2 linked regions of the Coturnix japonica genome follow. The main gene of each other region encodes a partner of the protein of the gene in region 2 in a complex. Links are inferred from orthologs where the notes say so. Each region holds a gene or a part of one and is shown on either strand. Other genes may lie near its edges. The genes, in order: NSMCE2 and NSMCE1.

Region 1 (4,511 bases), on a different chromosome or scaffold from region 2:
CACAAGGAAGCAGTATTAGAAAGAAAAGTGGTTTTATTCACCTTAAGAGGTCTTCTGCATCTTGTACAGCAATAATGAATTTTTTACAAAGTAGTTGGATAATGAGCACCAGAATGTAATTAGTCTTGGGTGTTACAAAAGCTGGGACAATGTTTGCTTGGTAATTCTATTCTCATTGAATTTGTTATTGAAGACAATTAGGTGACTGGAATGAAAACACTCAGTAAAGCCAGAAGAGCAACAGCTCCCACAATGAAGACAAATGATTATAAATAAATCAAAGTATGCAGGCCCAGGATTAATTCAGGATGCAATACAAAAGAATATACTCAGAGGAATTACTTACTGAAATTTTCCACCAGGTCAAGGGCAACGTGGGTAGCAATATCCATTCCAGTATTTATGTAAGTCTGGCAGCTTTTCAGAGATGAGAGAGAGGAATTCACGGAGCTGAACGAGATCCTTGTACCCCTCAACATCTTGGAGTTGTTACCCTAGAAGTAAGAGACAAAACATTTTGAGTGTAGTTTACATCCAAAGAATTTTGGGGAGAAAACCGAACTGCAGATAGCTCACCATTAAGCACGGTTAACAGGACCGCTGAAACATCAGAGAGCAAGGATAAATCACAGAATCATAGAATGGCCTGGGTTGAAAAGGAACACAGTGATCATATAGTTTCAACCCCCCTGCCATGTGCAGGGTCACCAACCACCAGACCAGGCTGCCCAGAGCCACATCCAGCCTGGCCTTGAATGCCTCCAGGGATGGGGCATCCACAACCTCCTTGGGCAACCTGTTCCAGTGTGTCACCACACTCTGTGTGAAAAAACTCCTAATATCTAACCTAAACCTCCCCTGTCTTAGTTTAAAAACCATTCCCCCTTGTCCTAAGTGTAAGTGGTACTGCAAATCACCAAAGGGGTTTTTATCCTTCTTATTCAAAATTAAGCTCAGCTGCACCACAAGAAGCAACTTGCAGTTTTCACCTGCTTATTTCTATTGCAAAACCTCATAGATGTTAGCCTGAAAATTACCGCTCAACTTCAGATCCAAAAAAAGTCCACGTACCCAAAAGTCAGCCTGTTTTCTAGACACGTTATCAGCTACGCTAACAAGAACTATGACTTTCCACATCAAATTCAGCCCCTCCAACAAGCCTGTTACAACAGCTATTACTTGGAAAAAAATAAAGGGCAACTTATCTAATAATGCATTTAACAGTAAATCATCTTTATGTAAATAGTAACTAGGATTTCCAACAGTTACGCTGAGACCATACTGGGGAGCAGGAAGAGAAAAGAACCCACAACCAAAATTGATTTATAGTAGAAATTTTATCAAAACGGTACACAAAATGACAAGAGAATGAGTTGCTGTATGAACAATAGCTTGTGAAAGGCCAAAATCCAACAGATATAAGGACAAAGCTTTGCCCCAAGCCTTTCACACTGGCATCTCCCTCTTCTACTTACCCTGGGATTCCATAACTAACTCTTGCACTCATCCTAAAGTGAACAACATTGCTACGTTCCTCATGATCATGCAAATTATAAGACCTGAACACCTGCTGTCACGCTGTCTTCTCTGGGATAAGAAACAAAGAAGTAGTGAAGAATTAAACAGGCTTCTTCATTCTCTTCGTATTTGTGGAAGCACTGACCAAACTATATGGGAGCTACAGTTGTCATTTACACTGCTACATCACACCACTGCACTGGGAGTTAGACATCTCAAGTCGACTTTGGAAGGCAATTTAAGTACACTCAGACAACACTGTTGTTGCTGTTTACACCTCACTTCTGGAAAATATAATGAGGCAAACTGATCTGAAAAAGTGAGAGTAGAAAGTCAGTTGTTTTTGTTCTTTTGACAAAAACAATCCAATAGTCATAGAACCATGGAATCCTAGAATGGCTTGGGATGGAAGAGACCCCAAGGATCATGTAGTTCCAACCTCCCTGCCTGGCAGGGCCACCAAACATACACCTTTACTAGATCAGGTTGCCCAGGGCCCCGTCCAACCTGGTCTTGAACACCTCCAAGGACGGGGCACCCACAACCTCCCTGGGCAGCCTGTTCCAGGGCCTAACCACTCTCCTAGTGAAAAACTCCCCCCTAACATCCAACCAAAATCTTCCCTCTTTTAACTTAAAACCATTTCCCCGAGTCCTGCTATTATCAGCCCTTTCCAAGAGTTTACTCCCCTCCTGGGAGTAAGTTCCCTTCAGGTATTGAAAGGCTGCAATGAGGTCACCCCGCAACCTTCTCTTCTCCAGGCTGAACAAACCCAACTCCCTCAGCCTGTCCTCATAGGGGAGGTGCTCCAGCCCCCTGATCATCTTCCTGTCCCTCCTCTGGACCCTTTCCAAAATCTCCATATCTTTCTTGTACTGAGGGCTCCACACCTGGACACAGTACTCCAGATGGGGCCTCACAAGAGCAGAGTAGAGACGGACAATCACCTCCCTATCCCTGCTGACCACCCCTCTCCTGATGGAGCCCAGGATCCCATTTGCTTTCCGGGCTGCCAGAGCGCACTGCTGGCTCATGTTGAGTCTCTCGTCCATCAGGACCCCCAGGTCCTTCTCTGCCGAGCTGCTCTCAAGGACCACTCCTCCCAGCCTGTACAGGTGCCTGGGGTTCTTCCGGCCCAAGTGCAAAACCTTGCACTTTGCCGTGTTGAACCTCATTAGGTTCACCCGAAACGGCACCGAGCCCCGCTTCCCAACCCCCCCCTCACCCCCCATCCTCAAAGCAGACAGCCGAGCCCCCCGGGGCACCGGCCGCTCACCTCGTCCCCTCCGCCGAGGCCTGACCGAGGCAGCGGGGCGGAGCGATCGGCGGAACCGCCTCATCATCCCGCGCCTCTGCGCGACGCCGCCGTCATGTGATGGGGCTGGGCCGAGCCGTTCCGCCGCCTGCCCCGCTCACCTGCTGCCTCCGCCGCTCCTGTTTTTTGTTATGAGCCCGTTTTCTCATTAGAATTCCTTCGCCCAATGACCTAAAAGCCGACAGTCAAAAACAGGCAGCAGGACTCGTGCTGTGTGTCCGCATCCAGCTCCACAATGGTGGATTTCCTTGCTGAAAACAATCTGTGTGGTCAGGCGATTCTTCGGATCGTCTCCTGTGGCAATGCGATCATTGCAGAGCTCTTAAGGCTTTCCGAATTCATCCCCGGGGTTTTCAGGCTGAAGGACAAGGCTGATCAACAGAAGTATGGAGACATCATCTTTGATTTCAGTTACTTTAAGGTAAACCCCTTTCTTCTGTTGGTAAACTTCTCTGTAAAGCGTTGTTGTCCTGGTAGAACATAAGGCTTACAAAGCCAATACCTGACTATCGTGTTTATTACTAATAAGCTTCAGAATTGACCGTAGTGACCTGTTATTGCTGCAGTCCCCCTGTACTCAGCACTTGTGGGGCCTCACCTCGAGTACTGTGCTCAGTCCCTACAAGACAGACATTGAGGTCCTGGAATGTGCCCAGAGAAGGGCACAAATCTTATGGGGAGCAGAGAAGGGAACTGAGATTGTTCAGTCATGGAAGAGGAGGATCAGGGGAGACCTTATTGCTGTCTACAACAGCCTGAAAGGAGATTGTGGTGGGGTGGGAGTCATCCTCCCAGGTAACAGTGATAGGCTGACAGGTTTTTAACAGGCTCATGTTGCACCAGTGAAGGTTCAAGCTGAATATTAGGAAAGAATTCTTCCCAGAAAGAGTGATGAGGGATTGGCACAGGCTGCCCAGGGAGGTGGCGCAGTCCCTGTCCCTGGAGGTTCTGAAGAACAGGGTAGATGTGGTACCATGGAACATGGTTTAGTGGGTGTGATGGTTAGGTGACCTTCATGGTCTTATCTAACTTCTGTGATTTGCTTTGTGCTTACCAAAGATTTACCAAACTGAGGTAGTAACTGGGATGTGCTCGCATACAAACACTCCAGTTTTGGGCTGTCCTTCATTTTGTATAGTTTTGGTCATACTTAGTCTAATCTTACTTTAATTGAGGAGGAGTCTGGTGAGTGCTCTGTTCTCAGGCACCTGGGCAGAATAGCAGTATAACTAGTACCCACACATAGTTTTAGTGCTAAAAGGGAGTTACAATTTTGTGTATATTATGTAGAAGAACAGTCTTTCAGATGTATGAGGAGTCATCTGGCCTGTGAGTTTTGGCAAATACTGCTCATATAAGACTTGAGTTGTGGGTTTTCTTCTTGGATGTTATTCCTGAAGTAACTCTAAATGTTGCTTTCACCACCAGGTTCTGAGCCTGTGCAGTGGGTTGGGTTTTCTGGAGCAGTACTGTGGGCAGTATGCCCATCTTCCTTTGGTTATCTGTAGCTTATTCTTTGCAGCTGTGAAAGCTGCTTCTTGCTTTCCTGTTGGACAGTGCTGTGATTGTTCACTCCCTGGAAGTGTCACATGTGCTGAATCAACAAATGAAAAGCAGTGAGCATGACAAGTCCTTGTTTTCCTTACATCTTGCTAAAAGCTTAATCCCTCTATCATTC
Region 2 (4,558 bases):
GCTTGGCTCTGAAATCAGAAGTGTTACTAGCAAAGCTTTCTAATCTGCCCTGCCATCACAAAAGGCTACAAATAAATGAGTTTATACCCATCAGCAGTTCACAAGTTACAGTTGAAGGACACTCAGAAATCAAGGCTGGCAAAGCACGACGGGAATTATTCTTCAGGAAGCTAAGAAATGCCATTTTCCTACGTGGATTTAATTTAGCTTGAAAGACAAATGCTGAGCTATTCGGCTGCAGTAAATGAGAGCAATTAGGATGGAAAAAGTAATGTTAGGGAAGGAAGCTGGGAAGATGAAGATTCAAGGGCAAGGAGCAAGAGGATGTAATCGTTGTAGAACAGGTTCTAATCTCTTATGCAAGACTAAATTGGAAACTTACCAGCTATCATCACACAGTGCTTTAGGAAACTATGTATAAATACACATTCATTCTCAAGTCCACGGTGGTCAATTCCTGAACTGAAATCCCACAACCAAAGTCGAATGTGTGTCATATGGAAGATTACAGTTATTTACATTATACTACATTATAAACGTAATATTACCAGATTACAACGTTGGAATTTTCACTGCCTGCCTAATACTTGAGGGAAAGTGTCACAAGCTTCCACTATGAAAGAAACCCATTTGCAGATACTGAGTTAATCAGATGCATTACCTGGATGGCAAGGCTGTGACAGATATTACACTTCTTTGCTATATCTGGGTAGGTGCTGAGAATGTATTGTTCCATCTCCATTATGCAGCGGGTATGCAGAGTATATTCCCCATTTCTCTGTGGAAACAACAACTGAGATTAGCAATATATCTTAGTTCCTTTCTTCATTTTGGACTTTTCTCACCACCTCTTAGCAAGCACCTGACATTCAAGGGGGTTTTTTCTGCTTCTGCCACAACATCCACGAGAAAATAACATCTGAACCTATTAAAGCACAAGCACTTAGAAAGACAAAGCAGTTACCTCAGAGAGCCACTTATCATCCACAAAAACTTTCAGCACTTGTTCCGCTTCCTTTTTCTTCATTTTCTTTGTCTTCAGTTGGTCAGCACAGTTTAAAATATCCGTAGAAGAGGCAAAACCATTTTCTGATAAAATGATTAAATCCATCTATAGAAAGAGACATTTTCAGTTATTAAAAAGACTGTGCAATTAGATAGACACACCTTATGGTAATGTACAGCTTTTTCAGCATCTGAACATAAGCATAAATTGCCAATTTTCAGAGTTTCTCTCATTGGGAACATTCCTGCTGCACATTATCACAGAGCAGAAAGCAGACTTGATGTGCTGGTGGTAATATGTGCCATGATTACACCATCTCTGCAGCGCAGACGTGGCTGTATAGATGCTACCTCAATAACGGCAGTGTGGATTCTGAATAGTATCAGTTTAGATGACACTGCAGCAGCTGTCCCAGAACAGTCAATAACCTCCCTTTCTAGTTTATTAAATAAAACATTAGAATACAGTATTTAAAAAAGCTAATTCTCTTTAAGAGGAGAACCATTACTTGTATATATTCCCATTTCCCTCCCTGCCCCATTTCACTTAGGATAAAATTTCAATTACGATATGCAAGAAGGCAACTAATTCTTGAAACACATCTCAGATTTCCATTCATTTTAAGAGAGTGCCTTCACAAATGATGTTATTTACTAACTAACATCAGTCATACTTACTGTTTTTCTGAACAATTCGAGTTCATTTTCTGCATAGTCAGATGCCATTTTAGTAATTTCAGTTTCTGCCATATTCACCTAGCAAAAAAACAAAAAGTGAAAGATCCTCCAAAATAAGGGATACATCATCTTAAAATTAACAGAAATATCATTTCTTTAAGTGCCATGAAAGAGGCTATTCCTGCTAAATAAATCAGATGCTGGTATGGGCTTTGCTGCCATGTTCCCTTCCCACACACTTACACTGTTGGCAGTTTATCTTCTCACTTCCCTGCTCTACAAGTAGATTCCACAGCTGTTGTCAGCATAACAGTGCAACAGCCCCCCAAAAAATGAAGATGTGCTAAGGGCACATCTCATGCTGGCAGATGTAGCCCTTTGTTCTATGTTCTAATGCAGGAGTTGTATTACATTGTAAGGAAAGATCCTAGATAAATCAATTTTACTAACATCCAAAGATAACACTTAGCTCCAGTTCAGTTTTTTGCCCAGTTCACCCACCTTTTGTTGTGCTTTTATTAACACGTTATTGAATGGTTAACGTTACATCAGACACATGGCAGAATCTCAGCAGTGTATCCATCCATGTTACTCGTTATGAGAAGCTAAAACCACCAGATGGCAGCACCTCACATACTTACCAAGGCATAATGAGTTTTCCCATCAACTTCAGACATTCCTTTCCGGATCTGCATGAACAAAGGCTGTAGCTGGTTGTTGATGGTACTGACAAAATCATCCAGTTTATCTTGTGCATAGTAGACTGAAAATAAGAAAGAAACACAGAGTTCAAACAGGCCCATTAAGTGCAATTAATGTAACTGATTTCTTATCAACAACAAATTCCTTGTTTCTTTGTTTTCTGATTCATAAACTAGTGGTAAGTTGGCACACCCAGCCAACTTACCACAGAACATCTTAGCTTTGTAGTCATACTTAATATTGTGTGTCCGACTTCATAAGCAAATGAAATAGTATAAGTTTTAGCAAAGACACAATTCAGGCACAGGAACAGCACCATTCTCCCAAGTTTACATCCAAAACTCGACTTTGGGCATTAAGCAGCAGCTCATAACTTGATGTTATTATGGAAAAGCAGCAGAGTACTGGGGTCTGCTTCACTGAGTAACTAATGTCCATGTTTTAAACATACATAACCTAAAGAATCTCACGTCTCTCCACGTTTCTTTCCAGAATAATGACCCACCTTTGCTGATCTCACAGCAGTGCCTGTGTAATTTCCTCGCCTCCGCTCCCTCCATGATCCCGTGTGACATCAGGACCTGCAAGAACCTTCGATGGGCATCAGACATCTGAGCTGCCGTTGCCATGTTCCTCCAGGCTTCAGATGCTGCAAAACATCAACTGCAATTAACACAGCGTGCAGATGAACAAGGTACATTCTGAGCACAAGTAGCATTTCAATTCAACTCCCTAATTACTGGGCCGCTGCCCCCCCCCGCACCCCTCAACCTCTGGCTCTTACAGCCTGCTCCGTGCTCCGTGCAGCGGCTCCAGGTCGGACACGAAGGGCAGCAGGAAGGTGGAGATGAATGGCAGCAGGAAGGCCTGTGTCTGCTCGTCCTTCCAAGACGATCAGCTCAGCTCTCGCCGCTCCCTCCTGCCATCGATCCGCTCAGCGATCTCCGCGGCCTCCTCCGCTCAGCGGTGATGGCGCCCCCTTGTGGCCGGGACGGGCTGTGCGGGGCGGGGGCGGTGCGGGAGCTGAGCGGAGGGGCGGGGAGGGGTCCGGCCCCGCCCGGCGGCGGAAGCAGGGTGGGGTGGTGGGGTGTCGAGATTCGCTTCGGGTTCGGTTTGGCAGGATTTCTCCGCGGTGGACTCCGACCGTGTAGGGCGGCAGGTCCGGTCCGGTCCCCGTCGCTGCGTGCCGGTACCCGCCGATACCCGTCCTGGGGCGGCGGTTCCGCTGTCGGCGCTGCCCGTGACGGCGGAGTTGGAGCCGCTCCGAGGAGCCCCGTGGGTCCGCGTTGTGTGTAAGTGCTGTTCATTAACCGCTGCCGGAGCTCCGTCCCGTGGGCAGTTCCGACATTGCTCCGGCCGGGCTGAGCGGACCGGGGCTGCCCAGGGTCCCGTCGGGGCTGCGGGGGTCCCCGCGCTGAGCGCTGTCACTGAGCGCCGTTCTCCGGCCGCGTGTGCCGCTTTCGGGGCATTTACCGCAGTAGAATTGCTCGGAAGGGATGAGGAAGGTTTGTCTGAAAGGCGGATTTCATTCTTTAACAGTTAGTCCCAATCCGTGTGTATTCAGAGAGCTTAAGGCCACTTTGAGATAGGCTCGAAAGCAGATAGCAGAATCGGTGGAGCAGGGCGAGCGGTTCCGGGAGCTGAGCCCCGACTCCCCCCTTCCTGCTGGAGTTTCCCTGGCTGCGTTCCCTGATGAGTTTCCGCCATGCTCAGTTTCATGGGGCAAGTTGGAGTGACGCGTGTGTAAAAGGCTCCAGGAACAAAACACGTGTGTGAGCTGAGCTCCCACTCATGACAGCCTGCGTGGATTCCCGGTTTGCCAACGAGGAGCAGCAGGTTGGTTCCCTCTTCCCTCGCAGAGGCCAAGTGATGTTTTCATTGCTGCTGCCTCTCTCAGCTCCTTCCCTAGAGCTTATAAATTCCAAGGGTAGCACTGTGTTCTGCTCCAAGTTGTCCTGGTGTTGTGCCCAGTTCTGGGCTCCTCACTTGAAGAAAGGCAGGGATCACCTGGAGAGATGCTGGCAGAGGGCCTGGGGGGTGATGAGAGCCTGGAAGCATCTCTAGTACCTAGTGAGGGATAGGAGACCTGGGGCTGTTCAGCCCAGGGAAGAGAAGGCTGAAAGGGGATCTCATCACTGTTTATAAATGTCTGAAGTACAGGAATCAAGTCAGT

The links.
Region 1: NSMCE1 (region 2) and NSMCE2 share a complex: the UniProt entries of both Homo sapiens proteins name them as parts of the SMC5-SMC6 complex. The link is inferred for Coturnix japonica from reciprocal best matches to the Homo sapiens genes NSMCE1 and NSMCE2.

The regions. Positions count from the first base shown.
Region 1 is NC_029517.1:125,030,545-125,035,055, reverse strand, and holds the start of NSMCE2 (E3 SUMO-protein ligase NSE2), read right to left. Parts: upstream 2,889-4,511; 5' UTR 2,795-2,888; intron 495-2,794; 5' UTR 480-494; coding exon 347-479; intron 1-346. Other genes in the region: WASHC5 (WASH complex subunit 5), read left to right, coding at 3,069-3,254. UniProt on the Homo sapiens protein: E3 SUMO-protein ligase component of the SMC5-SMC6 complex, a complex involved in DNA double-strand break repair by homologous recombination. Is not be required for the stability of the complex.
Region 2 is NC_029529.1:7,177,434-7,181,991, forward strand, and holds the start of NSMCE1 (non-structural maintenance of chromosomes element 1 homolog), read right to left. Parts: upstream 3,030-4,558; 5' UTR 3,015-3,029; coding exon 2,891-3,014; intron 2,447-2,890; coding exon 2,325-2,446; intron 1,762-2,324; coding exon 1,684-1,761; intron 1,112-1,683; coding exon 965-1,111; intron 779-964; coding exon 662-778; intron 9-661; coding exon 1-8. Other genes in the region: IL4R (interleukin-4 receptor subunit alpha), read left to right, coding at 3,071-3,079, 3,172-3,677. UniProt on the Homo sapiens protein: RING-type zinc finger-containing E3 ubiquitin ligase that assembles with melanoma antigen protein (MAGE) to catalyze the direct transfer of ubiquitin from E2 ubiquitin-conjugating enzyme to a specific substrate.